2 linked regions of the Tamandua tetradactyla genome follow. The protein of the gene in region 2 interacts with the protein of the main gene of each other region in a pairwise test. Links are inferred from orthologs where the notes say so. Each region holds a gene or a part of one and is shown on either strand. Other genes may lie near its edges.

Region 1 (16,453 bases), on a different chromosome or scaffold from region 2:
AGGGCAGGTTGTGAATCTGACGATTCCGATGGAGGGTCTGGACAAACTCCACAGGAGAGGCTCGGTGGCTGAAGCAGGAAGAGAGCCTGTCTCTTCTGAATCCTTCTTAAAAGGCTTCCGGTGATTAGATTAAGCATCACTCATTAAAGAAGACACTCCCCTTGGCTGATTACAAACGGAATCAGCTGTGGATGTAGCCTAGTGGTCATGATTTAATTCTATGAAAAGTTATTATAGCAACAGACAGGCCAGCACTTGCCCAACCAGACAAACAGGTACCACCACTTGGCCAAGTTGACACATGAACCTGACCATGACAGATAACAATCTCCATTTCTCAGTGAGAACAAGCCCACAACTAGGAGGAAGTGGGGCAGGGGCTCAACCCCTGGACTGTAACACTCCAAGGCTTGGACTGCCCCGGCTCCTGCACATAATCCAATCCTCAGGGGGGTCCCTACTGCAATACCACCATGCCACCATTTTACGTGAGGATACCGTGGCTGCACCCAAGTTAAGACTGCTATTGAGGGCGGGCCACGGTGGCTCAGCAGGTGGGGACGCTTGCCTGCCATGCTGGAGGACCTGGGTTCGATTCCCGGTGCCTGCCCATGTAAAAAAAAAAAAAGACTGCTATTGAGAGCCTGGTTCCTGGGTTTTAATGCACCCCCATTATTTTCTAACTGGGTGACACTGGTTACTTACCATCTCTGGGCCTCAGTTGCCTCATCTGCAAAATGGGGAGACTCTAGTACCTACTCTACAGAATGGTTGTTCCAATTATATGTGGGCCCCTCAGTGAATGTTTATAATCTTTCCCTGCTGCAGGGTCTCCTGCTTTACCCCCAAAGCTCTGCAGCAGATAGGCCAACAGGGTACTCAGCCTGCAACTTCTGCAGCTAAGAAAGTGTTTGACCTCAGGCCTGTGGACCCCTGTACTGCCTATTTGGAGAAGAGACAGAAGTGCAGGAAGGCAGAAGGTGGGGGTGGGGGTGAGTGAGTCCGAGCAAGACAGGGATCTTCCTTTATCCCTCCCCACAATAAAGCCTCCCTTTTCTACTTCTTCTATCTCCCCATGTATATCAGAGCATTTCTCTCAAAGGTAATTGTCATTTAGGGGGCAGCAGTGCTTGGAGCGGGGTGGGGGTGGTAAGCCACAGGCCTGGGAGCGAGGTGGGTTTGACTCACAGCTCCACCACTCACAGGCTGCAGTGCCTTTGTGAAAGCAACATCACCTCTCCGTCAGTTTCTTCTCCTGGAAAATGGAGGCAATAAATAGCAGTGCCTGTGCGCTGGTTTGAAAAGATGTATGTCCCCTAGAAAAGCCATGTTTTAATCAAAATCCCATTTCATAAATGCAGAATAATCCCTATTCAATACTGTATGCTTGGATTTATAATTAGACCATCTCCCTGGATATGTAACCCAATCAGGAGTGGTTGTTAAACTAGATTAGGTGATGACATGACTCCACCCATTTGGGTGGGTCTTGATAAGTTTCTGGAGTCCTATAAAAGATGAAACATTTTGGAGAACGAAGGAGATTCAGAGAGAGCAGAGAAGAACGACATAGCCACAAGAAGCAGAGAGCCCACAAGCCAGAGACCTTTGGAGATCAGGAAGGAAAATGCCTCCCAGGGAGCTTCATAAAACAGGAAGCCAGAAGAAGCTAGAAGATGATGCCGTGTTCGCCATGTGCCTTTCCAGATGAGAGAGAAATTCTGTGTTCACCACGTGCCCTTCCACTTGAGAGAGAAACCCTGAACTTCAGCAACCTTCTTGAACTGAGTTATCTTTCCCTGGATGCCTTAGATTGAACATTTCTATAGACTTGTTTAATTGGATATTTTCTTGCCCTTAGAACTGTAAACTAGCAACTTATTAAATTTCCCTTTTTAAAAGCCATTCTGTTTCTGGTATATTGCATTCTGGCAGCTAGCAAACTAGAACAGCCTGCCTCAGTGTTGTGGGGAGGGCACCTGGCAAGTGCTGAGCCCAGGGCCTGGTGCTGATAGCTCAGCAGGAGCGAGCCATGACCACTCACCGGATTTGGGTCCTGACTGCACCAAACATGTAACTGTTCCTCCTGTTTATGAGCAGGGCTAGGACATTCTTGGGCACTGCTGTGTCCCCAGTATTGCAACACAGAACTGGGCACCAAAGAGGTGCTCGGGTGATGCTTGTGGAATAGGTAAATGGGAAAAAAAAAAAAAGACTGAAAGAAGGAACCAGGCAGACTCAATGAGAGAAAGGCAGGGAGAAAGGAGAGAACGATGAGAAGCTAGAAAAAACTGAAACAGAAAAGTGCAGAAGTTCCTCCTGCATTGGAAGTGGGAGGCCATTTCCATCCTGCCCATTCACTTCACAGTAGGGGAACGGTCCCGGCCCCAGGGTTTAGCCCCACACCCAAGCCCGGCACCACTCCCAACCCTGGGAACAGTCGGCCACTAGAATAAAAAAACACAGGAACTTTATTATTATTTTCTACATGAGGGCAGGTCATGGCAGGACAGGAGAGGGAGGCGTTGGCAGCGGGGAGGAGGCCCCTACTTGCCAGCGATGAGCGGGTTCCGCAGGACCACGATGACGGAGTCCCCGCGCAGGAACATCTTGGAGATGTAGCGGTCCTTGTTGACCGGCTTGGATTTCTTCTTGCCCTTGCCGCTCTTCGGGACTTCAGTCCACATCTCCTTCACGTTCTCCAGCACCATGTTGCAGTGCCTGGTGGGAGCAGGTGGGGACACACAGGGAGTGAGGGGAGAGCCTTGTGGCTGCCCACACTCTGCCCAGAACGACTCTCATCCTCCAGGTTCCAACCCTGCCTCAGCAGGCCCCAGGCTGGGACTCGGGCCAAGGACCGTGCCTCAGTTTCCTCTTCTCTAAGACGGAGACCATCATCAAACCTACCTCACAGGACTGTTGTGAAGATTAACTGAGTTAATACAGAATTATCTAAGTGCTTAGAACAGAACCTGGCAGAGGGAAAATGCAAAAAGAAATTATTCCACTTGTATGTCTGCAGATGCCAAGAAAGGAGCTGCCTCTCTCTAGAGGCCTGAGGCTCCTGGGGGGTTGGGGCTTGAGGCCACCTGTGACCCCTCCACTCCAGTCCTGCTTTGTCCGTTTCTGTGGTGCCTGGTGGGCATGTGTGAAAGACAGAATAGACAAGTTCATTCAACAAATGTTCACTGAGCACTTGTTACATGCACTGCTTCAAGCACAAGGGATATGGAAAAGAGGAAAAAATAATACTCTGGCCCTCGTAGGGTGTGCATTCTCATAAGGGGAAAAGAAGAAAAAGGTAAACCAATAGATCTATGATATACGGTCAGCAGCTGAATCATTGCTGTGAAGGAAAAATAAAGTAGGGGAAAGGGTTGAAGGAGCTGGGGAAAGGGCCACTGTTAAAGATGCTGCTAATTTAACCAAGCCAAAACTCATCCACGTGATGGAAATATTTTCAAGTTGTAAGGAAAAAAGAAAAAGTAAAAGAACTGAACAAGGAAGCTCTTTGTATCTTGCTCTGGAGTAAGCTACAGAAGACACTGTTAAGTGCAAAAGGCAAGGTGGGGAATAGTGTGCTTGGAAATTATCTTTAGAAGGAAAAGAGGGCAGAGGATGAGCAGGTGCAATGCCCACCTGTTTGCTTCACATTTGGAAACCCTGGGAAGACATCTGGAGAAGGGTGGCAGTGGATGACCTAGATAAATAGGGGATGGGCAGGATGGGAACTTTACTATTTGGGGAGTCATGTGAATATATTACCAATTTGGAAAAATTAAGTTAAAAGCAGAACTGCAGTGTGCCAATATGGAAACATTTATGAATTAATTATATTAAATTAATATTAATCTCATGAATACTGAAAAAGCTGAGATCTAGAACTGCGTGGTGGGACAGTAACAGTGATTTTAAAAAGGCTAAAACCCCACATATGTGTATGATGTCATCTTCAAGTAACATCCCTGAGAGGCGACCCAAGAAGTGAGCTGTGGTGGTGGCTTGGGGGAGGGTGGCTAGGCATCCTTTGTAGCTGTTGACTTTTGCCTCACATGTATGTATTACCCATGCAAGAAAGTAACATAAGCAAATAAATAAAGGCCAGGGGATTGGAGGGTGGGGGTAGGTTACTCATAGTGTTGCCCTTAGGTGTTGACGAGTGGGAGAAATGAGGCAGAAGAGTGCGTGGAAAATCACAATTTTGTCATATACAACTATGTCTCAATAATGCTGTTTTTGTTTTTTAAGTCCACGAACAAAAACTACCATTACAAAGGATCCCCCGGATATACGTGTGAGTGTGTTGGTGTACAAATGTGTATTGGGGTGAAGGCTGGGTAAGGGAAGGATGATCTGAGGGTCAGAGGAGGAGAAAGCTAGAGAGAAAGAGAAAGAAAAGAATAACAAAAATATAAACCACCACTTATCAAGCACCCAACCATATGCCTGATCCTCCTTTAAGCATTTTAGAAATATTAACCATGAATCCTTGCCACAAACCCAGGAGGGAAATACTACTATCATCTCTAGTCTCTGGAGTACAAATAGAGGCTTAGTGCCATGAAGGGACTCATTCAAGGTCACAGTTTGGAAATGGCAGAAACTGGTTTGAATCTACTGACTCTCTGCAACCACCATGATTATTGCCATTGTGCTGACGAGATGAAATCATGTGATGAAGGTCACATGGCTGCTAAGAGGCAGAACTGAGACAGGAACCTAGGTGGGGGCTGGCTCCTGAGTGCATGCCCATAACCACTGTACTGCACAGCTGGAGGGGCAACAAGAGACAGCCACACTATGGGGGTTTTAGATGCACATGTCTTCAGATTCCTCCAGCTGGAGCTGGGGCTGCTTCTCCAGGCCTGCACAGAACACCTCCCAGGACCCAGGTGCTCACCTGTCAAAGGCCTTCACACGGCCCAGGAGCTTCTTGTTGTTACGGCAGTTGATGAGCACTTGGGTGTTGTTCTTGACAGACTGCGTGAGTACGGAGAGGGGCCCTGTGTTAAATTCCTCCTCCTCCCGCTTCTGTAGTTCCTCTGGGGTCATCTCACTCTTGGGCTTGTTGAGGAGGCTCCTGAGGGGGCAAGCACAGGACCGTGAGTGAGAGGGGTTGGAGGTGGAGGATGAGTAGTTATGGTCTTGTCCTTGGTGACCTCCCCCAAACTTGTTCCAACTAAACCACTCTCCCGCTTAGGGCTCCAGTTCTCCTCCCTCTTAGCATCACTACCTGGATCCCTAACAGACATTTCCAACCTTGCATGTCACAGGTTGAGTTCCAGACCACTGAACCACCCAACCCACTCTATCCACAGCCTTCCCCAACTCCATACCTCAGGGAAAAATAATCGAATGTCAACTTGTCTCCTTGTTCTCACATCCTACATCTAACCTGTCACCAAATCCTGCCATCTGCCTCTAAAACATATCCAGGATCTGAACATTTCTTACCATGGTTACTACTCTGGCCTAAAATTCCATTATCGCCCTCCTGAGATCTTACTGGTTTTCCTGCATCTCCCCATGTCCCCAACAAACTATACCATGTCACTCTTCGAAACCCTCCAGTGGCTCCCATCTCAGTGTAAACAATAAACTCCAAAGTGCTCACAATGCCCTATACCTGCCCCCTCTTTCATTCTGCTCCAGCTGCAATGGTCTCTTGAGTGATCCATGAAGAGATTCCCCTAACTTTCATCTTAGGGCTTCTGCATTTGCTTTTTCCTCCGTCTGGAAATCCCCCAAATAGCTGTGTGGTTTGCTTCCCCACTTGTCTCAGATTTTTGTTCTGCTGTTAGCTTTCCAATGTGGTCTTCTGTGTTAGTTATTAAATTTATTTTCTCTCAAAATTGGCATACCCCATTGTTCTTATCATCCTCTACGGCTTCTTGATTCACTGCCCTGATCATTTAAATTTTATTTGCTTACTGTATTTATTGCCTGCCTTCTTACGCAGAAGCTGCACTGAGACAGGGAATTTTTTGCGGGGTGGGGGTTCTATTTTATTCACTGAGGCGTATAAAGCAGTGCCTGATACACAATGAGCACCCCATAATATCTGCTGAAGGAATAAATGAATGAAATCACTCCTGTGATTCATTATCCATGAAAAGCCATTTGTTTCCAAAGTCAAATTTCCAGTATTAGTCCTTTACCTCAAATCGTTTTTCCTTGAAGTCGGCACTTACTTTTCCCCAGGTCCTTTATCTGTAACATCGCTTCCCCTTAAAATTCATCTTAGCAAGTCCAGTTATCTGGCAAAGTCCCTAGCCTGTTATCTGAAAAGGCAGCTTCCTCTCCCGAACTCATGATCAGTAAAAGGCCCAAATCCCATCCTCAAACTCGCCAGAAGGAACATACGCCACTTTACCCATAAAACTTCTACCTTCGCCCCCAGCTCGCTATCAGAAAAGGGCTCTTCCCAACAGACAAATTTGTACCCCCAACCCCACTCCCGCCGCCCAGACCGGGCCGGGCCGGGCCTCACATGATAGTAGGTGAGTCCTGGAACCTCTCCCTTCTCAGGCGTGTTGCGTTTCCCTCCGCAGACAGAAAGAGAGAGAGGCGGGACTTCCGCTTCCTGCGACCTACTTCCACGGGCGCCTGCGCGAACCAGCGGTAGGGGCGTGGCCTGTTGCCATAGCAAACCCCGTCCGCCGGGCGCAGTGGTGGGATTAAAACCCTGTTTAGTAGTTCGAGGCCATTCAGGGCTCTAAAGGGCAAATGGTCTCGACGACACAGAGAAAAATAATGGGGGTCCGAGTCAATTCATTTCATTGTAGGACAGGATAGATTGAAGGGGGAAAACGACACGCCAATTCCAAATACCCGCCAGCTCTGCTTTCGGAGGCGCGACCTCCGCGTGACCAATCCGCTTCCGGCTTCAGGGGTGGGCCCCGCCCTCTTGCCCTCCCGCCCTCCCGGAAACTCCCTTTACGGTTCGGTTGATGGCCTCCACGCCGCGCAACCAATTCTTAGCCAACTCCCGGGGGGGGCGTGGACCTGCCTCTAGGTGGGCGGATGTTGTCAAGGATCAAACGCTTCTTCTGTTGGCTTCTCCTCCTCTGCTGAGGCGGAGCCTACCTCTTTCGCGATCCCTTTTGGGTTGTGCAGCCCAAAGGGAACCGACCCCAAAACCTCAAGGGGCCCATCCTCAAAACGGCAGTTCCCATTGGCTTTACTGCCTGCGGGGGGTGGGACGATGCAGTCGCTCTTGATGCTCATTGGTCCGGTGGTTCCGTGGGAAGGGACTTGGCTGGGCCTGAACGAGCTTCGCGGTCCTGGACCCTTTGCCAGGTAAAGCTGCCATGCGTCCCGGCGGCCGCGGACGGCCTCGGCTACGGCTCGGGGAACGCGGCCTCTTGGAGCCACCCTCGCCTCCCACGCGCCGCCTGCTGCCCCGGGTGCAGCTGCTGCCCCTGCTGCTGGCGCTGGCCGTGGGCTCGGCCTTCTACACCATCTGGAGCGGCTGGCACAGCGGGCCTGGGGAGCCGACGCTGGGCCGAGAGCTGCGGGTGAGGCTCCGCGCGGGTTGGGGCATGGCAGGGGCCCCGCATTCTCCGCCTCTCCTTCCTCGGATCTTGGGTTGACGTGGCTGTATCGTCCGGCCGCAGCCGCAGGTGCTGCCGTCACCGTCATTCGAGCCAATGCCCCTTGCCAGCTGAATCGGGCTTCGGGCTTGAACTGTGGTTCTCCCTTAAGAGGAAGGATCGCGAGTGATAAGACTGGGAGTTGGGAGATCGTGGTTCTAATCCCAATGTCATCTCTTTGGAAGAGTCCCTTTCTCTTTCGGGGCCTTGATTCCCCCCCCCCCCGCCCCCCAGGATTAGGGTGGGCTGGACCAGATGGGCCTCGAGGGATATTCCTGAGTCTAGGATTTATCCTAGAAGTCTTTCACGAGGAGCCAAGGATTATGAAGAGGAACCGGAGCTCCTTATGTCCAGGGTTCCAGGGTTAGGGTCTCGGTGGGGACTGCACTTACGCGCTGGTCTTCCCCACCCCCTCTTTTCCTCTCAAGACCCCGCTGATCGGAAACCTTCCCGAAGCCGGATTGCGGAGGGTGGTGGGGCAGCTGGACCCTCAGCGTCTCTGGGACACCTATCTGCGCCCCCTGCTGGTGGTGCGAACCCCGGGCAGCCCAGGCAATCTCCAAGTCAGAAAGGTAAAGGGCCCCACCTCCCAGTCCCCAACTCGCCCCGGGAATGGGAACTGAGCATTCCGCCCTAGATCACAAAGCAGCTAAGGGGCAGAGCTGGGGCTGATCTGAGTCGATTCAAACGCCCTGTGTACCGTCCCCATCAAAAGCATAAGCAACAGCTCAGTGAGTTGGTCACCAATACAATCTTCACATGCAGATGGGAAAACTGAGGCCCAGAGAGATTATATACTTGGCCCGAGTTCCATAGCTAGTAAGTGGTAGTCCTGGGGGTTGAAACGAAGCAGGCTGGCTCTGTAATATCCCAGTACTGCCTCCCAGAAAGAGTAAGGCATCACTGAATACAGGTCTGGGTTCGAATCCCAGCTTAGCCGCTTGGAATGTGAACTTGAACTAGTCTCTTATTTTGTTGTGCCTCAGTTTCCTCATATGTAAAATGGGGTCAATGTCAGTTCCTACCCCACAGAGTTCTGTAGAGTACATAGAATAGGGTCTGGTATTGAAGAGTGGGCAGTAATTAATCCTGTTGGTATCAAAAGGTAGGGTTGCCCCATACCTGGCACCCACTAGGTGCTCAGCAGATGTGTTTCAAGGGAATATGAGGTGGTCTGGCTGCTCTGCGTGATTTAGGTCATGGCCTTCCCCTGACCCACACTCCCGCCTCTCTGTTGCCACTAGTTCCTGGAGGCCTCGCTGCTAGCACTGACTGCAGACTGGCATGTGGAGCTGGACCCCTTCACAGCCTCAACACCCCTGGGGCCAGTGGACTTTGGCAACGTGGTGGCCACACTGGACCCACGGGCTGCCCACCACCTCACCCTCGCCTGCCATTATGACTCAAAGCTCTTCCCATCTGAGTTGGCCCCCTTTGTGGGGGCTACGGATTCGGCTGTGCCCTGTGCCCTGCTGCTAGAGCTGGCTGAGGCCCTTGACCTGGAGCTTAGCAGGGCCAAGCAGCAGGTGAGGAGGGGGGTGGGGTGGGCTGCCTCCACCCTCACTTGCCTGGGTGTTTATCATCCTTCCGGTCTTCTTGCCTTCATGCACAGGGACACAGGGGTCCTCCCACTTGCTGAATGTCAGAGCCTGTCCCTTCTCTGTCCCAACCTTCTCTTGATGGCTTCTGTGTCACTCAGAGCATAAGCCAGAGTCTTTGCTGCCTCTCCAATCTCATCTCCCACCCTCACCTATTACTTACTCTGCTGTAGCCACACAGGCCTTCTCAGTTTCCCCTAAACCCACGATGTTCACTCCTACCTCAGGGCCTTTGCAGTTGCTATTTTAGCTGCCAGGATCGCAGTTCAAGTATAGTGATTACAGAATGGGCTCTGGAATCAGAAAGCCCTGGGTCCAAATCCTGGTACTGCTTCTTACCAGCTCTGTGAACCTGAGTTAAGTGGCTTCAACTCTCTGAGCCTCAGTTTTCCCATCTGTAAAATGAACATCATGATGAGATAATTGGGATAGCTACTGCCTCGACTCATAGGGGTTAAATGAGACCTGGGAACCCAGTGAGCCTACAGTAGCGGGTAACCAGCATACATTCCTATTGCAGTGAATAGGACCTTATGCCCTGGCCTTCTGCCCTCCAGTTTGCACCTGCAGCATGCTTTTCTCATACCTTCCTGGCTAGCTCCCTCGCTTCATTCAGGGATCTGTTCCATCATCACCTCCTCAAAGAGGCCTTCCCAGACATCCTAAAATCCCTCCCTGTCACCATCCTGTACTTCATATTGACTTCTCGAAGCCTCACTTTCTTCACCTGGAAAATGGTGTGAATTCCTAGGGTAGGTTTTGAATCCAGGTCTTAGAACAGTGCCTGGCATCACCCCAACAAGAGTGAGCTCCCTGAGGGCAGGGAGTTGACTTCTTTTGTTCCCTGGGCCTAGAACAACTCCTGATGTAGAGTAGGACGTCAGTACAGATGTGTAGAATGAACGAATGACAACACAGATCTCATCACATTGTTTCCCTGCTCGAATCCCTACCTTGGCTCCCCAGTGCCCCCATAACAAAGCTCAAGCTGAACTTGTTGGCCCTTGCCATCCCTCTGGCCTCTTCTCACACCTCTCTGGCCCCTTCCCTGGGCCCAGTCTTGCCCTGTGCTATTTCTTTGCCCAGAACTCTCTTCCCACTGCTCCCCCATTCACTTTTTTTTAGGCCAGCTCCCTCTCACCTTCAGGGCACAACTCCTTGCCCCAGATCCAGGAACCCTCCCCAGGTCAGGCCTCTCTCCCAACCTGCTCTCCCACTGCCTGAGCTCTCAGGACACTGTAGTTCTTGGCAGCATTTGTCCTAGCTGCAGTCCACTGTTTGTATAGTTATTCATTATATAATGAATAATTGGGTCTGGCTCGTCTGCCAAACTGAGCTTGAAGAATAACAATAATAATCAGAGCCAACCCTTTGTAGTCACTATGTACCAGGCACTGTTCTAAGACCTGGATTCAAAACCTACCCTAGGAATTTACCCCATTTTCCAGGTGAAGAAAGCGAGGCTTCGAGAAGTCAGTAACTTGTCCATGACTGCTTTGTTAATATGCAGCTGAGCCTGGATTTGAATCCCTGGCAGTCTGACTCAGAGCGGGTACCCTTGGCCACCATGCTCTACAAGTGAGGAGACCTAGTCTGCCCTATTCAATTTTGTGAGCGGACAGGGTGCATGGGTGGGCTGTGGCCGCGGACCTGGCACTGGGTGGGTGCTGATACCTTCTCCTACAGGCAGCCCCGGTGACCCTGCAGCTCCTCTTCCTGGACGGCGAAGAGGCCTTGAAGGAGTGGGGGCCCAAGGATTCCCTCTATGGGTCCCGGCACCTGGCCCAGCTCATGGCATCCGAACCCCACAGTCCCGGTCCCACCAGGATCCAGGCTATCGTAAGACCAGGGCCCACTCCGGTTCCGGTGAGGGAGGCAGAGGGTGAGGCAGGGTTGGTGGCTTTGCACCCGGCCCCTCCAGCCCCGGCCTCTCTCCCTAGGAGCTCTTTGTGCTTCTTGATCTCCTGGGCGCCCCCAACCCAACCTTCTACAGTCACTTTCCCCGCACGGCCCGCTGGTTCCATCGGCTGAGGAACATTGGTAAGGGCTACGGGGGAGGCAGGCGCTGGCCTGGGATATGGGAGCGCCTGTCCCCCAATAATGGCTTCTGTTCTCTCCCTTGAAGGAACTAGGGCAGAAAAACAAAACAATCCCACAGCAGCCATGTCCAATTACAAAACAGGGGCTCGGGGATTGCACAGCCCAGGGTTCATATCCTGGTTCTGCCTCTCACTGGCTGTATAAATCGCCCTAATGGCTTCATCTCCCTGCACTCAATTTCCTGTCTATAAAGTAGGGGCGATGGTGATGATAACAGGGGTATCTCCCACCTTGCCTCAGAGGGATTCAGTGAGACAAGAACATAGCAAGCCTGCAGTAAAGTGTCCTGGCATTCATTCCCACTGGCCCCCTGCCCTCCTCTGCTTTGTGAGCAGGGGAGCCGTAGACCCCGGAGGTGCTCACCCTTTCTCTCTAATCCCTGCCACCTCCAGAGAAGCGCCTGCACCGTTTGAACCTGCTGCAGTCTCATCCCCAGGAAGTGATGTACTTCCAGCCCGGGGAGCCCCCCAGCTCTGTGGAAGATGACCATCTGCCCTTCCTCCACCGAGGTACCTGCTGGGGAGGTTGGAGGGTGGAGGGTGGGGTCTGAGGTCTGAGGGAGCCACAAGTGGGACCTGGCCCCAGCCCCTCCCAGCCCTGGGGACTGGAGGCAAGTTGCTGAACTTATGGGCTGTCAGTCCTCAACTATGAAATAGGAGTTATAACCATCCCTACCTCGGAGGTGGAGGACACCGAATGTATCACTGCCTGGCACTGAGCAAACCTCCAGGAACACAAGCTGTTACTATTTGTACCTTAATGATTACAGTTTCTTCCAGCTCTTGCCTTTTGAGGTCCTGACAGTCGATCAGAATAGCCTAAGAAGCTTTGAAAAATGCCGAAACCTATTTCAGATGTACTGAGTTACCACCTCGGGCATCTGCATTATTTTTTACAAAGCTCCCAGGTGATCTCAGTGCACAGCCACGGTTGAAAACATCTTGTAGAAGGGTTAAGAATGTAGGCTTCAGAAAGGGACAGTTCTGGGTTGACCTAAAGCAAATGGGGGCCCAGAGAGAGCCATCTTCTGGAAAATGAAGATCTGTATACCTGCAGACACATATACATAAATCACAGGTTATGAGGATTCAGTGAGATCAGGTATATAAAATGCTCATTTAGGACATTGTAGGGTACATAAAAAGGGCTAAAAACATTATAGAAAAAATTCTTATTCTATAAATTACTTATTCAACAAAGAGGCATACCGTGCAATGCTGCCCTCTTTATTGATTCATTCAACGAGCATTTCCCAAGTCAGCACACAGAACATTTAGCAAATCTAGATGAATGCAGAGGGAAGTACTCTGAGGATAGGATCCCTGTGTGGTGCAGGGACTAAGAGCCCAGAATCTGGAGCCTGGGGGTGGCCTGCTGCATTCAGATCCTGACTCTGATGCTTACTAGAGGTGGGACTTTAGGCAGAGCACTCTCTCGGCTTCTCTGTGCCTCAGTTGCCACATCTGTAAAATGCAGGCAATGATAGAACCACCCTAAAAGGATTGCTGTAAGGATAAAATAGAGTATGGAGAGAGCACAAGAGGAAAAGCCTCAGACCAGGTCCTAGAATAGAGCAAGTAGTCTATATAAGTATTACCTATTAAAGAAGAGAAGGGCCAAGGACCCTTTCCCTTCTTCTGACTTCTCCACAGTCCATTAAGTTTTGAGTTTAATTTTCTCTAATATGTGCTATGAAAACAATATACTGGTTTAGAAAGAAAAAAGAAACCTCACACACTTCAGACCACTGATCAGAGTTCTTAAAGCACCAGACCAGTGCATCTTCTGTATGTAGAAGGCGATTGTGTGTGGTGGGAGAGGTGGCAAGGTTATCTGGCCAGGTTTCCAAGGTCAACGGGGGGGGGGGGGGGGGGGCGGCACCGGCAAAGCCTGACCACTATTTCCTTTCTCCGGCAGGGGTCCCAGTGCTGCACCTCATCCCCATCCCCTTCCCCGCCGTCTGGCACACATCTGCCGACACCGAGGCCAATCTCCACAAGCCCACTGTGCACAACCTCAGCCGCATCTTTGCTGTCTTCCTGGCCGAGTATCTGGGGCTCTAGCTGTCGAGCTGGTCCCTGCTGGGGAGAAGCTGCTCTGAAGAAACCCCCAGAAGGTGCCTGGAGGCAGCGGCGCTCAGGCAGGGCACCTTTCAGATGTGCTGGGTTTTTATTAGACTTTTGGCTCCAATTGGATGGAAGACCCTCTTTCCTTTGTCTCAAGCAGCTGCCCTTCCTAGACTTGGAAGAGACCACTAGTGGGGGCAAGGACTAAAGGACTAAGGCTTGCTTGGCCCCTTGCCCCAAGGGGAACCCTTGGTCTGAAGTTTGGTGGGGATCAGATGCTGTCTGCCTTTCTAGAATTGGGTAATTGTACACTGGTGCCTGGACCACCACCAGCTAACTGGATTGCTTACGGCTTGTGTTTTCATGTCACTTCGTTCTCCAGAATGGCAGACTCAGTGCTGCACCCAGTGCAAACCTAACTCCCATATGGATATATCAAGTGGGGTCCACAGAGGAGCTGCCTGTAAAGCCAGGAACAGAGGAGATGGAAGCAATATCTGGGGAAAAAAAAAACAGATTCTGACCGACCCAATGGGCAATAAACCCATGTTTCTGCAAATCATATTCTGCAGAATTAGTGGCAATAGTATCACATGTAAAAAAGGATCAGTGATCAAAGTGGGGTGAGATAATGGTAAACACGTTTCTTCACCGCACAAAAGATTCTTCGAGAGAATGGAGAATGCAGTGTTTTCCCAAAGTATTGGACCATGGAACTGCTTCTCTGGGAAGCACCTCATAGGACTAAGGTACCTCAGAACATAATTTGGGAAACACTGGGTTTTGACTGTTCGAGCATTTATAGGAGGAATGGTGTGCTAGGCCAAGGTTTGGCTGACCATCGTTTTCCTCTCAGCTGTGAGTATAGGTTTGTGTTACGATGGGTCTAACTGCAACTCTAGTGAAGTCCTGAAGTACTTCCCAGTCTTACCTGATTTGCAGATTCCCAGGTTCTGACCACCCTCTACTCCACCCCCACCCCCCCTACAGACCTACTGTATGAGAACTCTGGGGAGGGACTGGGACTCTGTAACAAGCCCCAAGGGAGTTTCATGAGCAAAGTTGGGACTGTTAGGGACACAGCTGGGTGTGTTCACAGCTGCAGGGCAAACGTACTCAACAAAAAACTTTAGGTAAAGGGAGGACTTAGGAGAGGCCCATGCTGAGCTCAGTCCCTGCTGGTTTTGTGACATCGATGGAGATATGGTAGGCAGTGGGACACCTGGATGAGAGGTAATTCACCAGTGAAGGTGAGCTTCAGCCTTGTGAGCCAGCTCAAAGCTAGAGGAAACCCATCAGGATGCAAAGGCTGAAACTCAGGATATCAAACCAGGGGATAAAACAGAAGGTGCTTAATTCAGGTTCTTCCATAGTAGGTGGCACTTATTGGGCACCTCCCATGTGCCAGGCACCACAAGCACTTTACATGCATCAACTCGTTTATTCTCCCCTTCAAATCCTGAGGTAGGTCCAACTTCCGTTCCCATTGTGCGGGGAAGCGGCTGGCAGTTGGGCACCGTTTTCAGAGCCCAGGTTTTCACCCACGGCTGTGTTCCTAAATCCCAGGTCTTACCTCCCTTCCAAAACCCACCTGTGCTGGATGAACAGTTTGCTGACAAGAAGTCAGCTCCTGGTACTTTTAAACTGACTGCAAGATAGATTGGGGTTGAGCTGGAAGGGAAAAACTAATGGCTTCCAGAGGAAGATTTAGCAGAATTCCAGGGTTCAGAAAGGGAAGCTGACAGTGATATCTACAGCCAGGGTGGCAGAAGGGTCTGGTAACCACAGGGACATAGTATTCATGTCCTGTAAGCAGGCATGGGGCCAGACTCTTACAGGACACCATCTCACCTTAGATTCATGGTCACCCCAGGAGGGAGGAAAAGGCCATTGTCCCTGTGTGGCAGAGAAGGGAAGCAATGTGCCCAGCTATATTTCAGTCCCTCTACACCTCCCTCCCCGTGTGGCACCATGGTTGAGTGTGCCATGTGCCAGGAACTGGATAAGGGGCTTTATGCACATTTTGTGCTCACATCCTTAAATTCCTTTGGATTCCAGATGAGGCTGCTGGTGCTTGGCACAGTGTGTCACCAAGTCCCATAGCCAGCAGGCCATGCAGCTCCCATTCATATCCCAAACTGGGGTTCCCCTAGCTTCACACTGAAGATGCCACTAGATGTGTTTGATAAACTGTTGAGTGCTCAGGATGTGATATCTTTACATATCACTTGTGCAATAAATCAAGAAACTGAGCCTTGGGGAAAAAAAAAAAAGAAACTGAGCCTCAGAGAAGTAAAGTAAAGACAGTTGCCCAAGGTCACATAGCTGAGGACTTTCCCTACCACATGTCTAGGTATATGCTTCTTTTTATTTATCCTGCTGATGACTCACTGGGGCTCACTGGCATCTTTTATTTGCTTAGAATTCTCAACATCATCTCTAATATTCTTCATCTCATTCTCTTCTGATTCTGGAGTGGCAAATATATGTTAGACCATCTTACTTTACCCTCCATATCTTTTCTTTCTGGGCTTTTGTTTGTTTTTGTCTCTGTGCTGCACTGTGGATTTTTTCTTTCCTAGCTTCTAGTTCAATATATCATTCTTCAGTGTCTTATATAATACTGTTTAACCCAGCCATTTAGTTTTACCTTTGTTTTTCATTTCTAGAAGTTTATTTGTGGGTTATTCTCATTCACGTTTGCCTAACCACTTGTTAGTTTTGGGATCCCTGCAGATATTTTCAGTATCTTGTTTTCCTCTTTTTAGAGAAGGCAGTGTTGTATTATAAAGTGTGACTGACAATTTCAATATCTGAAGCTTCTATGGGTCTTTTTGCTCTCTTGTTCCTGCTAGGTCTTGCTTCAAATTGCTTTCTTTACATGCAATGCATGTTTGGTTACTGGACTGTGTGCTACTCAGTATCTTAAAAAAATTATTTGCAGAGATTCTAGATGGCAGTGCCTTCCACCAGAGGGTATTTGCTTCTGCCAGATGTTTCAGCCAACAGCTCCCTGGGTCACCAGGCAATGAAAACCGGGGCTGCAAATGCTTATCAGTCTGTGGCCATAAATTATCAGCAGGGTCAATTGTTTCCT
Region 2 (16,600 bases):
AACACCCTCATATTCTATTTTCTGTATAATCCTAACTGGCCTGGTTGTCTAACTTTTAACCAGGAAAAAGCAAAAAATACAAAGGAAGTAGGATTCCCCCAGACAGGAATAATGACACTTTTCTCAGACATTCACATTCATCGTAAGGGGAGGCTGACTTTCACCTCAGTCCTTGTGACAGTTTGAAGCTATGTATACATCAAAAAAGCACGTTCTTGAATTATCCATTCCTGTGGGTATGAACTAAATGTAAATAGGATTCTGAGGAGACTACTTCAGTTAAGGTATGATCTGCCTCAATCTGAATAGGTCTTAATCCTGTTATTGGAGTCCTTTAGAGACTCCAATAGAATGAAATTTAGAGAATGAAATTTTGCACACACAAAGAGAAAGCCAAGGAAACCCAGAAGAGAAGGGAGAGACCAGCAGACACCACCATGTGCCTTGCCATATGGCAGAAGAGCCAAGGATCGATGGCAGCTGGTTTTTTGAAAGAAAGCACTGCCTCGATGATGCCTTGATTTGGACACTTTCTCAGCCTCAAACTGTATGCTAATAAATTCCCATGGTTTAAGCCGACCCATTTCATGGTATCTTCTCTGAGCAACCTAGGAAACTAAGAGTCCCCCTACAGGAAATCAATGTCTTATACAAGTGTATAACACATGACTCTCAGTTATCAAAAGTATTATAAAAGGCAAAGGCAGAACTAGATTGTGGTGATGGTTGTACAGCTCTGTAAATATACTACAATTTATTGATAGTGTACTTAAAAAAAAAACAAGATGAAAGGAGAAAATTACGAACTGTTATTTGGAAAGTCTTACATCCATAATGTTTATTTTAAAAAGAAAACCTGAGGCTTAAGTGATAAACCTTAAGGAGCTGAAGGTGATAAAAGTTCTAGAAATGACTTTCCAGAATGCACTCCCAAACAAACATGATTTTACTATTGTAATTATACTGCTGTGGATGGATGCTCTCTTCCAGTCCTGCTTTCCTCTTCATATGTAGATGAAAGTGTTTGTGTATCACAGAAATAGTCCAAGTCCCTTATTAATTCAGGTCAATAAACAGCCTTTTTCCTGCCTCAAAAATTGACTAGCATTATCACAATTCAGAAGGAGCACATTTCAATTTCAGGTGTCCAAAAATCATTTCAAATATCCAGAACCAGAAATCAGAGCCTTTGCTTTACAAAGCACATAACTACTCTAGTTCCTTACTGCTGACAGGATGTAAATGCTATCTCAGCACAGCATTTCCTATGGCGCTCTCATAATTCTGTACACAGAAGTGGATTATGCACTGTATAAGACAGAAGCAAATTCCACACTTAAAAGTAACACCTATTCTTATCAGTTAAGTTCTGATTTTTATTTACAATTTTGCATATATTCTAGAAGAAACATCCTTCCAAACCCAAGTATCTACTTAACTATACCTAGTCTCAAAGAAACCATGAGTCACAAAATGGAAACACGAAAATTAGAAAGCCAGTAAAGAAATATTTTGCTAAACTCTAATGAACTTATACAAGTTCTTTATTCCTGGTATAGGGTGAGGAACAGAACAGGAAGGTAAGAGAAGTCTTGAATTTGGGTTGGCTTATTACTTGGTTTAAAATTAATTTTGGAATAGATACAGAAAAGCAGTACTTCTAGGTCATAACTGTTTTAAATTACTCACTTTGAATTATTTATGCTTCTATTCCCTTATTCGGAAAAAGTCGACTTCCTATGAAAACTAAGCTCTGAAAATAAGCCTGAATATGCATCTGAGAAACCACCTAAAACCAAATCTGACTCTGTCCCTCTGCCTAAAATTCTAAAACAGTTTTCCAAAAGCCTAAAGCGTGGGCGGTGAGATGGTGGCTCAGTGGCAGACTCTCACCTGCCATGCTGGAGACCAGGTTCAATTCCCAGTACCTGTCTATGCCAAAACAAAACAAAATGCCTAAAGGCCAAAATCAAACGTCATAAACGTGGCTTGCTACCTCTCCACTTTATTATATCTTATCATTCTTTCTGTGTCATTTCCTCAAACGCAAGAACTACTAGACTATGCATACACACACACTGTATATGTGTGTATGTATGTGTATATATGTATGCATGTGTATCTATCCTGGCACACACAAAACTGTTTATTACCCTTACCTCTGAGCACCTGTTTCTTCTAATGGGAACATTTCCCTTGACCCCATCTCATTAACTTAGCTAACTGTTTATCATCATTTTCTCACCTCCTCTAGGAAGCCTTCCCATTTGTTGAGACATTGATTCTACTACAACTTGGAAATGTTAGGTGGAAAAGAACAAAAAAGGGAAGAAGACAAAGAAGGTAAGGCTAACAGTGGGTAAAGGGGAATGACAGCAGTGTTTAAGGTACTAGTAATGTTCTATTTTTAACCTCAATGGTGGATGGTTTAGTTACAATTCTTTAAATAGTACTTATATTCTTTTTTGGATGCATATTTTAAGAAAAATATATTTTCTGCTAGTGAAATAACAAGGAATTTTGTTTTAACAAATAAGAACTTAAAAAGAATTGTACTTCCTGAGTGTAATAGTTGTATTATGGTTAAACAGAAGAATGTCCTTGTTCTTAGGAGATACATGCTGAAGTACCCATGGGTGATAATGGCAAGATATATGCTACTAACTCTCAACAGCTCAGAGAAAAAGAAATGTGGCAAAATGTTAACAACTGATGAATTTTTTGACAGGTATATGGGTATTAATGAATAACGCTTGTAACTTTGCTTTAGGCTTGATATTTTTCAAGATGAAAAAACCAGTATAGGGCTTTCCCAAAAAGTAGTTACATTTTAGAAAGAAGAGCCACTATACAGAGATACTACAGACAAAAAGGATTGTGAAAGGGCTATGGTTATATCTACATGGCACTCTTCACCACTTAAACTTTTTTCTCAAATATCACCCAAGAGCTTCTTCTCAATACCTAACGATACTCTTCAGATTCTACTTTATTTGATCACTCCTCCAACCTCTTTTTCCTCAAGTCTCTTATTCCATGACTCACTTCTTAATATAGATGTATACCCTCTCCCAAGATTCAGACTCATACATCTAATGTTTCTACACATCACATGTTCAAACTAAACTCATTATCCTTCTCTCACCCCAAACTTGATTTTCTTTCCATATTCCCTATGTCAATGACTGGTCAAAAGTCTAACCTTCGCTCACTGTTTAAATTTTCCTTTTAAAGCAAAGGTTCTCTACATTTTGTTTTGTGCCCTGGATTCTGTGGTAGGCAGAATTTGGGCCCCTGGTATCATGTCTATGAATATGCTACTTTACATGTCAAAAGGGATTTTGCAGATCTCAAATTATACGGCTGGGCCCAATGTAATCACATGAGCTCTGAAAAAGCACAGAACTTCCTGACTGTAGACAAGAGTTGCAGTAGAAGAGGAGGTCAGAGAGATTTGAGGGCTGGAAAGGATTCAGTATGCTCATGTTGGTTTGAAGATGAAGAGGACCACATATAGGACCTCAGTCCTACAACCACAAGGAATTGAATTCTGTCATAATCTGAATGAGCTTGGAGGTATATTTTAACCCCTGAACATCCGGAAAAATACCCAGCCTGGATGATATCTTTTGGCTAGGTAAGACCCTAAGCAGAAAATCCAGCCATGCTGTGCCAGGCTTCTGACCTCCAGACACTATGAGATAATAAATCTGTATTGCTAAATTTGTAGCCATATAAAACTAACACATGCTATGCCGGAGAACCAAGTTCAATTTCCACTGCGTGCCTGCCTGCCTGCATGCATGCATGCATACATACATACATACATAAAACTAATACAGACTCTTTTGGAAGTCTAAGAGAGCCTAAGGATACTGCTTTAGAATAATATTTTTAAGTGCATAAAATACATAATATTACAAAGGAAACCAATTATATTTAAACACAATTATCAAAATACTGATATAAAAATGAATTTGTCACATAGTTATATATGTTCTTCTTTATTACTGCATTAAATAACAAGATCTAGCACCAGGTCTACTAAGTACCACACTTGCAAAGCAGTGACAAACATAAATAATATTTCAAGGTATCTACAACAATTCTAATTTGAATTGAAAATAATTATTTCTATTATTGACAGTCACAGATGAACACTGCTAACACTACTGCAGTTTGCTGCTTACATTCATAATTGAAAAAATGTTATATTGGGTTACAGTTTACTTAAAATAATGATGAAAATTTTTTCCCATCCTAATTCATGGATCTCTTGAATTAACAGGTTTCCAGACATGCAAGGATGAAGAACCCCTGCTCTAAACCATAAGTTCTATGAAGGCACATCTACCTTGGTCACCACTCCAGCAGTTAAACTTCTGGGAAACCATCAAATTCTGGATATATTGTGAAGACAGAACCAACAGAATTTTCGGCAGATTGGCTATGTGAGTCTGAAAGAAAGAGATGAGTTAAGAATAACTTCAAGGTTTCTGATCTCAATAACTGAAAGGAAGATAGTGAAAACTAAAGGAGGATCAAGTTTTAAAGAAAACAGGAATTTGGTTCTGTAATGTTATGTTTGACATGCTTATTAGATATAGGAAGATTTTTTAAAAATCACATAGAAAGCTGACTTTTAGAAAACTGCTGATTTAAGCCAAATTCAATGAAACTCTACTGAGCCAATTTGGCTGAAAATTCATAAAGAAACTGATTTTAGAAAACTTATATTTCAGTCAGTTTTGCTAAAAATTCTCATCTCAGAGCTAGTATGGGAGGAAATTCATGGAAAAAACTTTTCAGAAAACTGTCCAAGAACCCAACAGATTTTGATAGTAAAGGATACTTGTATATCCCTGATAGTCGTTAAGTACTATAGAAAAAAAAATAAAGCAGGTAAGGGAGATAAAGAATTCTAGAGATGGAAATGGGAAGCTAATTTATATAGAGTGACTAAGGGAACAGTTCACTTATAAGACCTGAAAAAGTATAGGAGCAAACTATGTGGACATTTAGGGGGATTTCTCAGACAGAAAAGATTAAGTGCAAAGGCACCAAAATAGGAGCATGCTTGGTGGAAAGTGACCTTGGTGAGAGCATGCATGACAATTTCAAGAAAAAATCAAGGAACCAGTATGTCTGGAGCACAACAAATGAAGAGGAAATTAGTAGATAAGGTCAGAGAGGCTGGGGGAGACAGAGTTAGATCATGCAGGACCCTGCAGGCCATTGTGAGGTCTCTGGTTTTATTTTGAGTAAGGACTGAGACTTGGGCACCTTAACATTTAGAAGTCAGAGAGATGTGGAAGAAACCAGCAAAAAATGACTGAGAAAGAGCTGCCTGGAAGGTAAGAGAATTAAAAGCCTCTACAGCCTAAATAAAGGGCTACAATCATATGGGAAAGGGATAGGAAGGGGTAAAGGTGGAGAGAAGCTTGAAATGTATGGAAATCTGGACCAGGGATATGGGTAATGAATTTAGAAGTTTGAAAGACTCAAATAACGGATGCATAGCAGGAAGGAGGACTTAGTGTTTGAGTTGGAAAGCATGGAAGTGACCAAAATCAAAGTTCCTGAGAAGATTACCAAAGAAAAATATGGTAAACATAGTTTGCTATTTAAACACCACCTTTTATATATCCAAGAGGGAAGGGAAAATAGTAGCTGGCAGAGTAAAACTGTGTTTACAGTAAAGATCAGGCCAAGCAATAATAAAGGTTGCCTAATTCACCAGGATTTCCATTTCTTTCTTATTTTAAAGAACATAAAGAATAGTAGGAAGGGATGGAAAAGATGGGACTGAACCTTTCCACACAAACATGGTATCATAAGATCCTTTAAATAAAAGAGTGTATGTGTGTAGTTCTGGGCCTACTGAGCAGATATCTGCCTGAGGGTCCATCTGCATGTTGCAATCAACAACTCAGAATTTGCTTTCTACCTGAAGGTCCATAAAACTTCCTCCTGTTAGTTGGCATTTCCCTATCTCTCCCTGCAATACTAATCACCCTTTCTCTCCAGCTCATCCTTCCTTATTGATAGGTCCTACTTAAGCCTGTTGGAGTCACTGACCTCCTTAAGAATCTCATGCCAGAAATCAGAAAAAAAAAATGCACATATACAAATTCTACACATAACTTCAGAGTGTCACAGACCGTTTGAAGTACTGACATCTAGTTCAAATTTAAAGACCTTGTTCTACAACCTGCTTTATCCCTATGATTCTTCTCTACTCTGAACCCCTCCCCCTCCTCAGCACTATCTGTACCTGTCACCTAACTATTCATCATGAACTGCCTCATTATATCTTTAACACTTACCCGTGTTTTTTATCTGTAATACTAAATTGTTTTTATTAATCCAGAATAGCATGCTACAGTAACTGAATAGCATAAACATTTATTTATTACAAAAATGGCTTCCAAACCATTAAAAATGAAATTGGAATGAGTGCATAAAATGGAGCAGTAACATCACAACTGCTAGGACACATTTAAAGTACTCACATTTTGCGACATTACTGTGCTTAGGTTTTTTTTTTTTGTTTTTTTTTTTTTTGGCTTCTGTTTGTTTTAAAATAAGACAAGACTCAAAACAAGCAAATATTTAAGATTTAAGATAAGGCTGATGTGAAAGCACGGTGTGCCAGGTGGCCAATGAAAGAAGCAATCTCTTCTGGGACCCAGACGTGGGAGTCGGGTCCCTTCAGATACGACCCCGCCTTGCGTGGGTTTGGGAGTGTTCCTTCCCCAACCACACCACAGAAGAAAATCTATACTCCTTAACCAGATATTCAAAATCCTGCACAAGCTGCCCAGGGCAACCTCTTCTATACCCGTTCATTGGAAAACACAGACATATCCTTGAGTAGCAGGCGGAGCCTGAAAACGCAAAACCTTAAACGAGACCATGAGGAAAGAGCAAAGTAGACGCCAGAGCTCCGGTAAGCAGGCGGGTAAAAAGCATGTCCGAAGCTCGGGAGAAAGAGATATTAGACTAACAGTCTTTCCCCAGCACAAGCATCCCCGAAATGACGGGGACCACGTGCTGCACCTCCCAGCAGCCACCGAGGTCAGGTATCACCCACGCTCCTCGATGTCCGCAGGAGGAAGGATGAAGACGCGCTCGGGAACAAGGATCCCACCTCTCAGCGATGTAAAGGGTGCCGGTGCCCAAACCTTTCCCGTCTAATACAGCTTCGGTATCTGGCAGTTGGTGCCGAAGGCCATCGGTGGGGCCGGGTGGCGGAACACTTTTGAGGAAATTCATTGAAGCAGGGAATAGCAACACACAAGCCGGAGGAAGCGAAGGCGATAACAAATCTATCTCACCGCGTCCTGCCCCGGAAGTGGTGGCATTAACATCGGAAGAGCAACTTAGACGGGCGGAAATTTCAACGTTTTTGACCATAGAGACGAGAAGTTCTAGGAAACCCGGAGGTCTGCGAAGACCGTGATGGGCGTGTCCCCGGACGCCCCCTTTACTTCTCGCCCTTTCTGAGGCTTTAGGCTTAGGGTAATAAAGCTTTCTCGATGACATCCTATTTCTAGATCCTTACTGCAACATTCTTTAGAGAGGAGGCACAAGAAAGATTAGTATTCCTTTTCTCTACAAAAGAGGAAACTAAGACCTGAGACACGGAGTGCTTTGGGAGCAGAGACCACACGCTTGAGAGGTCAGAAAGCCCCTAAACTCGGTTTAGGGCGCTTCTCACTTGTTCTTGCTTCACTCGCGACTGTTCACATCTCAGCTGTACGCAGCCAAGCGCCAGAAATCAGTGTAGGTCCTGAAACCACCCTCGTGCAGAACGACTATCCCCACGTCAATGGAGGGCCGGCCAGCGCAGAGAGAAGAGGTAACTGACTCCGGATGAAGAACAGCCTATGTTAGTAAGGAGATGGGCCGCTGAAAGGAAAAGAATTAAGCCCCTAGATTTGGAACTCTTAATTTATTTCTTACTTAGGCACTAAAGAGTAAATAATTAAGAGCAATTAAAACTTTAAAAGTAACCATAATAGTAGCTAAATTTAGCCGAGTGTTATGTGCCAGGCACATTTTTGTGTTACTGGTTCCTTCGCTCCTTTTATAAACTTTCTTTTACGTTGAAATAATTAAAAACTTACAGGACAGATGCAAAAGTAATACAAACCTCATATAGAGAAGTCCAGCATACCACCCCCACCCCCAGATATCCAGATCCACCAATTGTAATGTTTTTTCACCTAGTGGGAGTAATCACGTTCACAATGTTGTAGTACCCTCACCGCCATCCATTACTATAAATTTCCCTTTACCCCAAACAGAAACCCTACATTTATTTTGCATTAACTTTCCATCGCCATTGCCCTGACCCCTGGTAACCTGTATTCTGCTTTCTGTCTTTATAGAGTTTGCATATTGTTTTCTTTGTCGATACCACGGTGCTTAAATGTCCTAAATCTATAATAATCGCTTAACTTAATTTTAAAGCTTAACTTGAACAGTGTACATAAAATATGTTCCTGTACGCCTCTGTCCTCCACCTTTATGCATAGTTCTTATCCTTGAAAAGGATTAGCGCTGGCCTCGTGCGCGTCTTCATCCTTCCTCCTGCGGACATCGAGGAGCCTCGGTGGCTGCTGGGAGGTGCTGCACGTGCTCCCCGTCTTTTGAGGCATGGTTGTGCTGGGGGAAGACTGTTAGTCTAATATCTCTTTCTCCCGAGCTTCGGACATGCTTTTTACCCGCCTGCTTACCGGAGCTCTGGCGTCTACTTTGCTCTTTCCTCATGGTCTCGTTTAAGGTTTTGCGTTTTCAGGCTCCGCCTGCTACTCAAGTATTTGTCTGTATTTTCCCAAGAATGGGTACAGAAGAGGTTGCCCTGGGCAGCTTGTGCAGGATTTTGAATATCTGGTTAAGGAGTATAGATTTTCTTCTGTAGTGTGGTACATTCCTTTTTAAGGCTGAGTAATATTCCATTGTGTGTATATGCCACATTTTGTTTATCCATTCATCTGCTGATGGACATTTGGGTGGCTTCTGCCTTTTGGTTATTATGAATAATGCTATTATGAACACTAGTCACAGATATTTATCTAACTCCCTACTTTCAGTTATCTAGGGTGTATACCTATGTGGTAGTTATATTCAGTTGTCAGTTTGGCCAGGTGAAGGCACCTAGTTCTGTTTCTGTGGACATGAGCCAATGGTACCTGAACCTCATCTGTTGCTGATTACATCTGCAGTCGGCTAGGAGACATGGCTGTTGCAATGAATGAATTTTTTATTTAATTGGCTGATGCTTAAATGAGAGAGCACAACGTAGCACAACCTCATCTCAGCACTCACAGCTCAGCCCAGGCCTTTGGAGATGCAGAAAGGACTCACCCTGGGGAAAGTTGTTGGAACCCAGAAGCCTGGAGAGAAGGCCAGCAGAGATCGTCCTGTGCCTTCCCACGTAAGAAAGAACCTCAGATGAAAGTTAGCTGCCTTTCCTCTGAAGAACTAATGAAATAAATCCCCTTTTATTAAAAGCAAATCCATCTCTGGTGTGTTACATTCCGGCAGCCAGCAAACAACCTAGAAGTGGGATTGCTGGATCATATGGTAGTTCGATGTTTAGTTTTTTGGGGAACCATCAAACTGTTTTCCACAGTAGCACCATTTTACATCCTATGTACAATGGATGAGTGTTCCTATATTTGCACATCCTCTCCACTACTTGTAATTTTCTTTTTTTTTCTCTTTTAAAGAATTTATTTATACCTATATCATACAACATGGCGTTTTTCAAGCACTTTTTAAACTGTATGTGCTAGTTTGAAAGGGTTATGTACCCTAGAAAAGCCATATTTTAATCCTGATCCATCTTGTGGAGGCAACCATTTCTTTTAATCCCTATTCAATATTGCACGTTGGAAACATGATTAGATTATCTCCATGGAGATGTGTCCTGCCCAATTGTGAGTATCTACCTTTGATTAGAGGGAGATGTGACTCCACCCATTCCAGATGGGTCTTGATTAGTTTACTGGAATCCTTTAAAAGAGGAAACATTTTTGGAAAAAAGTTTGAGAGCCACAAGAACCATGAGAGCCCACAAAGGCAGAAACCTTTGGAGATGAAAAGCACCCTTTGGGGAGCTTCATGTAACAAGAGCCTGGAGAGGCAGCTGACAGATGTCGCCATGTTTACCGTGTGCCTTTCCAGGTGACAAAGAAACCCTGAACGTCATCGGCCTTCTTGAACCAAGGTATCTTTCTCTGAATACCTTAGATTGGATATTTCTATATCTTTGCTGTAATTTGGATATTTTCATAGCTTTAGAACTGTAAACTTGCAACTTAAAACTTACAACTTAATAAATTCCCATTTTTAAAAAGCCATTCCGTTTCTGGTATATCGCATTTCGGCAGCTTGCAAACTAGAACATTGTGAAAAATACCATATATACAAAAAAGCAATACATTTCCAAGTGAATTTTTTTCAACTTCCAGCACCTTTTATTCTTCCTAGAATCTAGATACAATAAACTCATTTACTCAATAATTGATAGAGACATAACTACACAAAAGTATTCTATATGCAACATATGGCCTTCATTACAGAAGTTGGCCTAACGAAGCTTATAAACATTACAAATTACCCTGTGCTTTTCCATACTAGCCAAGATTGCAACCAAGAAACCACTGTATTTTAGTAAGTACTTAAAACAGCTTAAGGGCAGTGTGATGGTGGCTGAGTGGTAGAGTTCTCATCTGCCATGCCAGAGACCCGGGCTCGATTCCCAGTGCCTGCCCATGTAAAAAACAAAACAAAACAAAACAAGAACACACAGTTTAAGTTATGATCCCTCCCCTTACAGGTGGAAAAAAACACTTTAGTTTCTGTCCTAACAAAACTTTATCCTGAACTATCAAATTTCAGCAGAAATGAACACCAGAAATAGGTTGAGTCTTTAGCCTAAGCTGTTGAAGGTTGACCTTTCAAAAGAAGACACAGGTTTCTCATTAAACTTTGTTTAGGTCTTAAAATTCTGTGACAGATTTTTGGTCATTGTTTCCATTTAATAAGTACTGATTTTAAAAACCAATAACTTAAAACTGCCACACGAAAACAAATGGTCCATAAAACGTTCCTTTCCTTCTGAAGGTTTTACCATACGTCATTATCATTCATCATTCTTTTACAATGAAACTTAAATGGCCAATTGAGATAAACAGTTCTGAGACCATTTTTCCACCACTGATTAAGACTGGGGTGGCAGGTGTTATGGGTAATATTCATTTAGCTTTCTGAGCTTTCTGGGCAGACTTGGTGACCTTGCCAGCTCCAGCAACCTTCTTGTCCACTGCCTTGATGACACCCACAGCAATTGTCTGTGTCATATCATGAAAAGCAAAATGACACAGAGGAGGATAGTCAGAGAAAGTAAGAACGCATATGGGCTTTCCAGGAACCATATCAATGATGGCAGGATCACCAGATTTCAGGAATTTGGAGCCATCTTCCAGCTTCTTGCCAGAACAGTGATTAATCTTCTTCGGCTCAGTAAACTTGCAAACAATGTGAGCGGTGTAACAATCCAGTTCAGGTGCATAGCCAGCACTGATCTGGCTGGGATGGTTCAGGATAATCATCTGAGCAGTGAAGCCAGCTGCTTCCATTGGTGGGTCATTTTTGCTGTCACCAGCCACATTGCCACGATGAACATCTTTTACAGACATGTTCTTGACATTGAAGCCCACATTGTCCCCAGGAAGAGAGTCATGGTGCATTTCAACAGACTTGACTTCAGTTATAACATTTATTGGAGCAAAGGTGTCTACCATGCCTGGTTTGAGAATACCGGTCTCCACTTGGCCCACAGGCACAGTGTGAATTACCAATACCACCAGTTTTGTAGACATCCTGAAGAGGCAGAATCAAGAGCTTGTCAGTTGGACAAGTAGGTGGCAGGAGGCAATCCAGAGCTTCAAGCAGCATGGTTCCACTGGCATTGCCATCCTTATGAGTGACATTCCATCCCTTGAACCAAGGCGAATTAACACTTGTCTCCAGCATGTTGTCACCATTCCAACCCGAAATTGGCACAAATGCTACTCTGTCAGGGTTGCAGCCAATATTCTTAATGTAGGTGCTTACTTCCTTAACAATTTCCTCATATCTCTTCTGACTGTAAGGTGGTTCAGTGGAATCCATTTTAACACCAACTATTAGTTGTTTCACACCCAGTGTGTAAGCCAGAAGGGCATGCTTTCGGGTCTGCCCATTCTTGAACATACCAGCTTTATATTCATCAACACCAGCAACAACAATCAGAACAGGACAGTCAGCCTGAGCTGTGCCTGTAATCATGTTTTTAATAAAGTCTCTGTGTCCTGGGGGCATCAGTGATGGTCACATAATACTTGCTGATCTCAAATTTCCACAGGAAGACATCAATGGTGATACTATGCTCACATTCAACTTTTAGTTTATCCAAGACCCAGGCGTACTTGAAGGACCTCTTTACCATCTCAGCAGCTTCCTTCTCAAATTTTTCAGTCGTTCTTTTGTCGATTCCACCACATTTGTAGATCAGATGGCCAGTTGTGATGGATTTGCCTGAATCTGTGTGGCCAAAAGCAACAATGTTGATATGAGTCTTTTCCTTTCCCATTTTGTTTTAAGATATAGCAATGGTTTTCATGACACCTATGTTCTGGTAGCAAACCTGTTGTGAAAAAGTCCAAGTACATTTTAGCAAGTAGTTGTTTGACAGATTTTAAAGTTTGGTATGGGTTACAGTTCCACAATTTTTCATTTTTTCTTCTAGCTCCTCCAAGACACTGGAGACCAAAAGAAGTATCAATATATTGATTCAGCAATCATATTCATTTGTTAAATCCTATCCTCTCTATTATACTCTTCCTTTTCTTTTTTTAATTTTTGTGAAAAGTAGCATGTACAAAAAAGCAATGAATTTCAAAGTACATTGTAACAATTAGTTGTCAAGAACAGATTTAAAAATCTGGTAGGGTTACAATTCCACAATTTTAAGTTTTTATTTCTAGCTGCTCTAAGGTACTGGAGACTAAAAGAGGTATCAGTATACTGATTCAACACTCATACTCATTTGTTAAACCCGAACTTCTCTGTATAACTCCACCATCACCTTTGATTTTTCTCTCACTCTTTAGGGGTACTTGGGCTATGGCCATTCTAACTTTTCATGTTGGAAGGGGCTGTGGATAATATATGACAGAGGGATGGAACTAGTTGATATTCTGGAAAGGCTGGCCCCTCTGCATTTCAGGACTTGTCTGGTCTGGGAACCCATCTGGAAGTTGCAGGTTTCTGGAAAGTTACCCTAGTGCCTGGAACCTTTGTAGAATTTTATATAGCACCCTAGCTACCCTTTAGGATTGGCAGGAATGGTTTTGGTTGGGGTTTGGCAAGTTATGATAGTGGCAATGTCTAACTGAGGCTTGTGTAAGAGTGACTTCCAGAGTAGCCTCTCAACTCTATTTGAATTCTCTCAACCACTGATGTCTTATTTGTTACACTTCTTTTTCCCCTTTTGGTCAGAATGGCATTGTTGATCCCATAGTACCAGGGCCAGACTCATCCCTGGGAGTCATCTTCCACACTGCCAGGGAGACTTTCACCCCTGGATGTCATGTTCCACATATGGGGGGGGGAGGGGTCAATGGTTTCACTTACAGAGTTGGGCTTAGACTGAGGCCACATTTCAGCAACAAAAGAGGTCCTCTAGAGGTGACTCTTTAGGCATACCTATAGGTAAGGCTAAACTTTTCCACTATATACATAAGTTTCACAAGAGCAAAGCTGAAGATCAAGGGCTTGCCCCCCCCACTCCCCACCCCCATGTATTTTACAGCAGCTAGAAGCAACAACCTAAAATTGTGGAATTGGAACCCATGTCAAACTCTGAAATATGTTGTACAACTAATTGTGGTGCTGTGCTTTGAAATTTATTGCTTTTATTTATATATGTTATTTTTCACACACACACACACAAAGGAAAAAACGTCAACTGTGATGATAAAAAAAATTTATAAAAGACATGTAAAAATGAAAAAATATATATTTATTCCTTCTAGCTTCCTATATTCTGGAGCAGCTAGAAGGAAAAATTTGAGAGGATCGTATGGTAGCCCATGACAAATTCTGGAATCTGTCCTGTAACTACTTGTTGAAGAGTGCTTTGAAAACTATTGCTTTTTTATTTCTTTGCTTTGTATATATGTTATACTATACAATAAAAAAAGGGTTTAAAACTTTTTTTAAAAAATCCATGACTGGCCTATTAATTTGGGTGTCCCTAATGTTTAGCATAGTATCTGGGGTTTCCCTGGTGGTAAAGTTTAATAGTTCCATATTGTTTCTCCTATCCCTCAAGGGACTTTGCCAATACTTCTTGATTATCTGCTTAATATACTCTGGGATATAGCCAGGCATTACATTAAGCCATATAGGAATGAAGGCTCTCATGTTTATTCTGGGCTCCCTGTGTTTGGATTGTTTAAATGACCTATCCAGACAGGTTGAGTTAGATTATGTGCTCCTGAGAATTTAGGTTCTAGACAAAATAAACCTTCCTTCCTTTGGTCTCAAAGAGTAGGTGAAGTTCTAAAATACAGGCAATGTATTCCTTAATCCTGACCTGATAGGCTTTGTTCTTATCTCTAAATACCAGGTTATGCATCTATAAAAAATATGGCTTTTTCTTTTTTCGCATGGGCAGGCACTGGGAATCGAACTGGGTCTCTGGCATGGCGGGCAAAAACTCTGCCTACTCAGCCACCGTGGCCTGCCCAAGAAGTGTGGCATTTTAAAACACTGACATATAACTCCCTAATAAGATAAAGGAAAGACAAAATTGTTTATGTTATTAGAAACAAGATACACCATCATTTTATAATCTTCAAACATTATTGCAATTTAACTTTCATATTTTGAAAATATACATATTCATGAAGCAATATCCAGACAATAACTGCTTAACAAAGAACACTTTTAAGTAGACACGACTATCCTAAATTGTGTATTAGGTATGAATTTTATAAACATTGCTTATATTAATGGTAACAGTGGAGATGGAGAGTGTCATGGTCAAGTTCATGTGTAAACTTGGCCAGATAGCAGTACCTGTTTGTCTGGTTGGGCAAGTGCTGGCCTGTCTTTTGCTATGAGGACATTTCACAGAATTAAATCATGAGCAGTCAGCTACAACCACAGCTGATTCTATTTATAATCAGCCAAGGGGCGTGTCTTCTTTAATGATGATGCTTAATCTAATCACTGGAAGCCTTTTAAAGAGGATTCAGAAGAGATGGGTTCCCTTCCTGCTTCGGCAGGTGAGCCTCTCCTGTGGAGTTCGTCCAGACCCTTCATCGGAATCATCAGCTTCACAGCCTGCCCTACAGATTTTGGACTCTACGTTCCCACGGTTACGTGAGGCACTTTTATAAATTTTCTATTTATGAATATTTCCTGTTGATTCTGTTTCTCTAGAGAACCCTAACTAATACAACTACACTGTAGTAGTTAGATTCATTTGCCAGCTTGGCCAGGTGAAGGTGCCTAGTTCTATTGCTGTGGACATGAACCAATGGCATGTGAACCTCATCTGTGGCTGATTACACCTGCAGTCCGCTAGAAGGCATGCCTGCTGCAATGAATGATGTTTGATTTACTTGGCTGGTGCTTAAATGAGACAGCACAACAGTAGCACAGCCCAAGCAGCTTAGCATACCTCATTTCAGCACTCGCAGCTCAGCCCAGGCCCTTGGAGATGCAGAAAGAAATCACCCTGGGGAAAGTTGTTGGAACCCAGAGACCTGGAGATCAGGCCAGCAGAGATCACCCTGTGCCTTCCCACATAAGAAAGAACCTCAGTTGAAAGTTAGCTGCCTTTCCTTTGAAGAACTGTACATTAACTAAATAAATCCGCTTTTATTGAAAGCCAATCCATCTCTGGTGTGTTGTATTCTGGCAGCTAGCAAACTAGAACAGAGAGTATTGTGCCTTCTCCAAGCTGCATGGCAAGAACCACAAATAGTATGGTAGAATTTGTGGCCTTTTCCAAGGCTATGGTTCTTGCGGCCTGGAGACATCAGCCCACACATCTCCCTGTGCTTGTGGTATGGCTTGGTGATCCATTGGGTGTCAGGATTTCTTCTGATTTTATGGAATGCATCAATAAGGATAACCTCAAAGAATGTGTATGTGGAGTCTTCATCAACCCAGTAAGAATTCATGACTTTCAGCACCCCCACCCCCCAGAGGTGTCCAACTTGGTCCTCAGCAACAGACTTAAGGCTTTGAGCAAATTTCAGCCAGTTACACCCTGATGAAAAGGCTTGCCATATGTTGCATCCTTAAAAATCATGCATTTATGGACAACATGGTGCACTCGAATCCTATAGATGACATAATGTTGCTTGGCCTTGTATCCAAGTCTGCTCACTTTATCCATCCAGGTGGGACCCTGTGGAGCACAGAGAACTTGTAGTACCACAAACAGCAGACCCTCAGAAGAAACTGCATCACACTGGACTGCTTCTTCCTTTTATTTTTATTGACAAACCTTCACTCAGATACAGTCCAT

The links.
Region 1: the proteins of CLNS1A (region 2) and SNRPD2 interact in binary tests that used the Homo sapiens proteins (3 or more experiments, as listed by UniProt). The link is inferred for Tamandua tetradactyla from reciprocal best matches to the Homo sapiens genes CLNS1A and SNRPD2.

What each region holds. Positions count from the first base shown.
Region 1 is NC_135342.1:15,331,244-15,347,696, reverse strand, and holds SNRPD2 (small nuclear ribonucleoprotein Sm D2), read right to left. Parts: upstream 6,622-16,453; 5' UTR 6,493-6,621; coding exon 6,491-6,492; intron 5,081-6,490; coding exon 4,901-5,080; intron 2,722-4,900; coding exon 2,547-2,721; 3' UTR 2,449-2,546; downstream 1-2,448. Other genes in the region: QPCTL (glutaminyl-peptide cyclotransferase-like protein), read left to right, coding at 7,311-7,517, 8,021-8,164, 8,837-9,118, 10,877-11,029, 11,131-11,230, 11,683-11,799, 13,208-13,353. UniProt on the Homo sapiens protein: Plays a role in pre-mRNA splicing as a core component of the spliceosomal U1, U2, U4 and U5 small nuclear ribonucleoproteins (snRNPs), the building blocks of the spliceosome.
Region 2 is NC_135334.1:67,191,949-67,208,548, reverse strand, and holds the start of CLNS1A (methylosome subunit pICln), read right to left. Parts: upstream 7,380-16,600; 5' UTR 7,276-7,379; coding exon 7,151-7,275; exon of another isoform or gene 7,110-7,150; intron 1-7,109. UniProt on the Homo sapiens protein: Involved in both the assembly of spliceosomal snRNPs and the methylation of Sm proteins.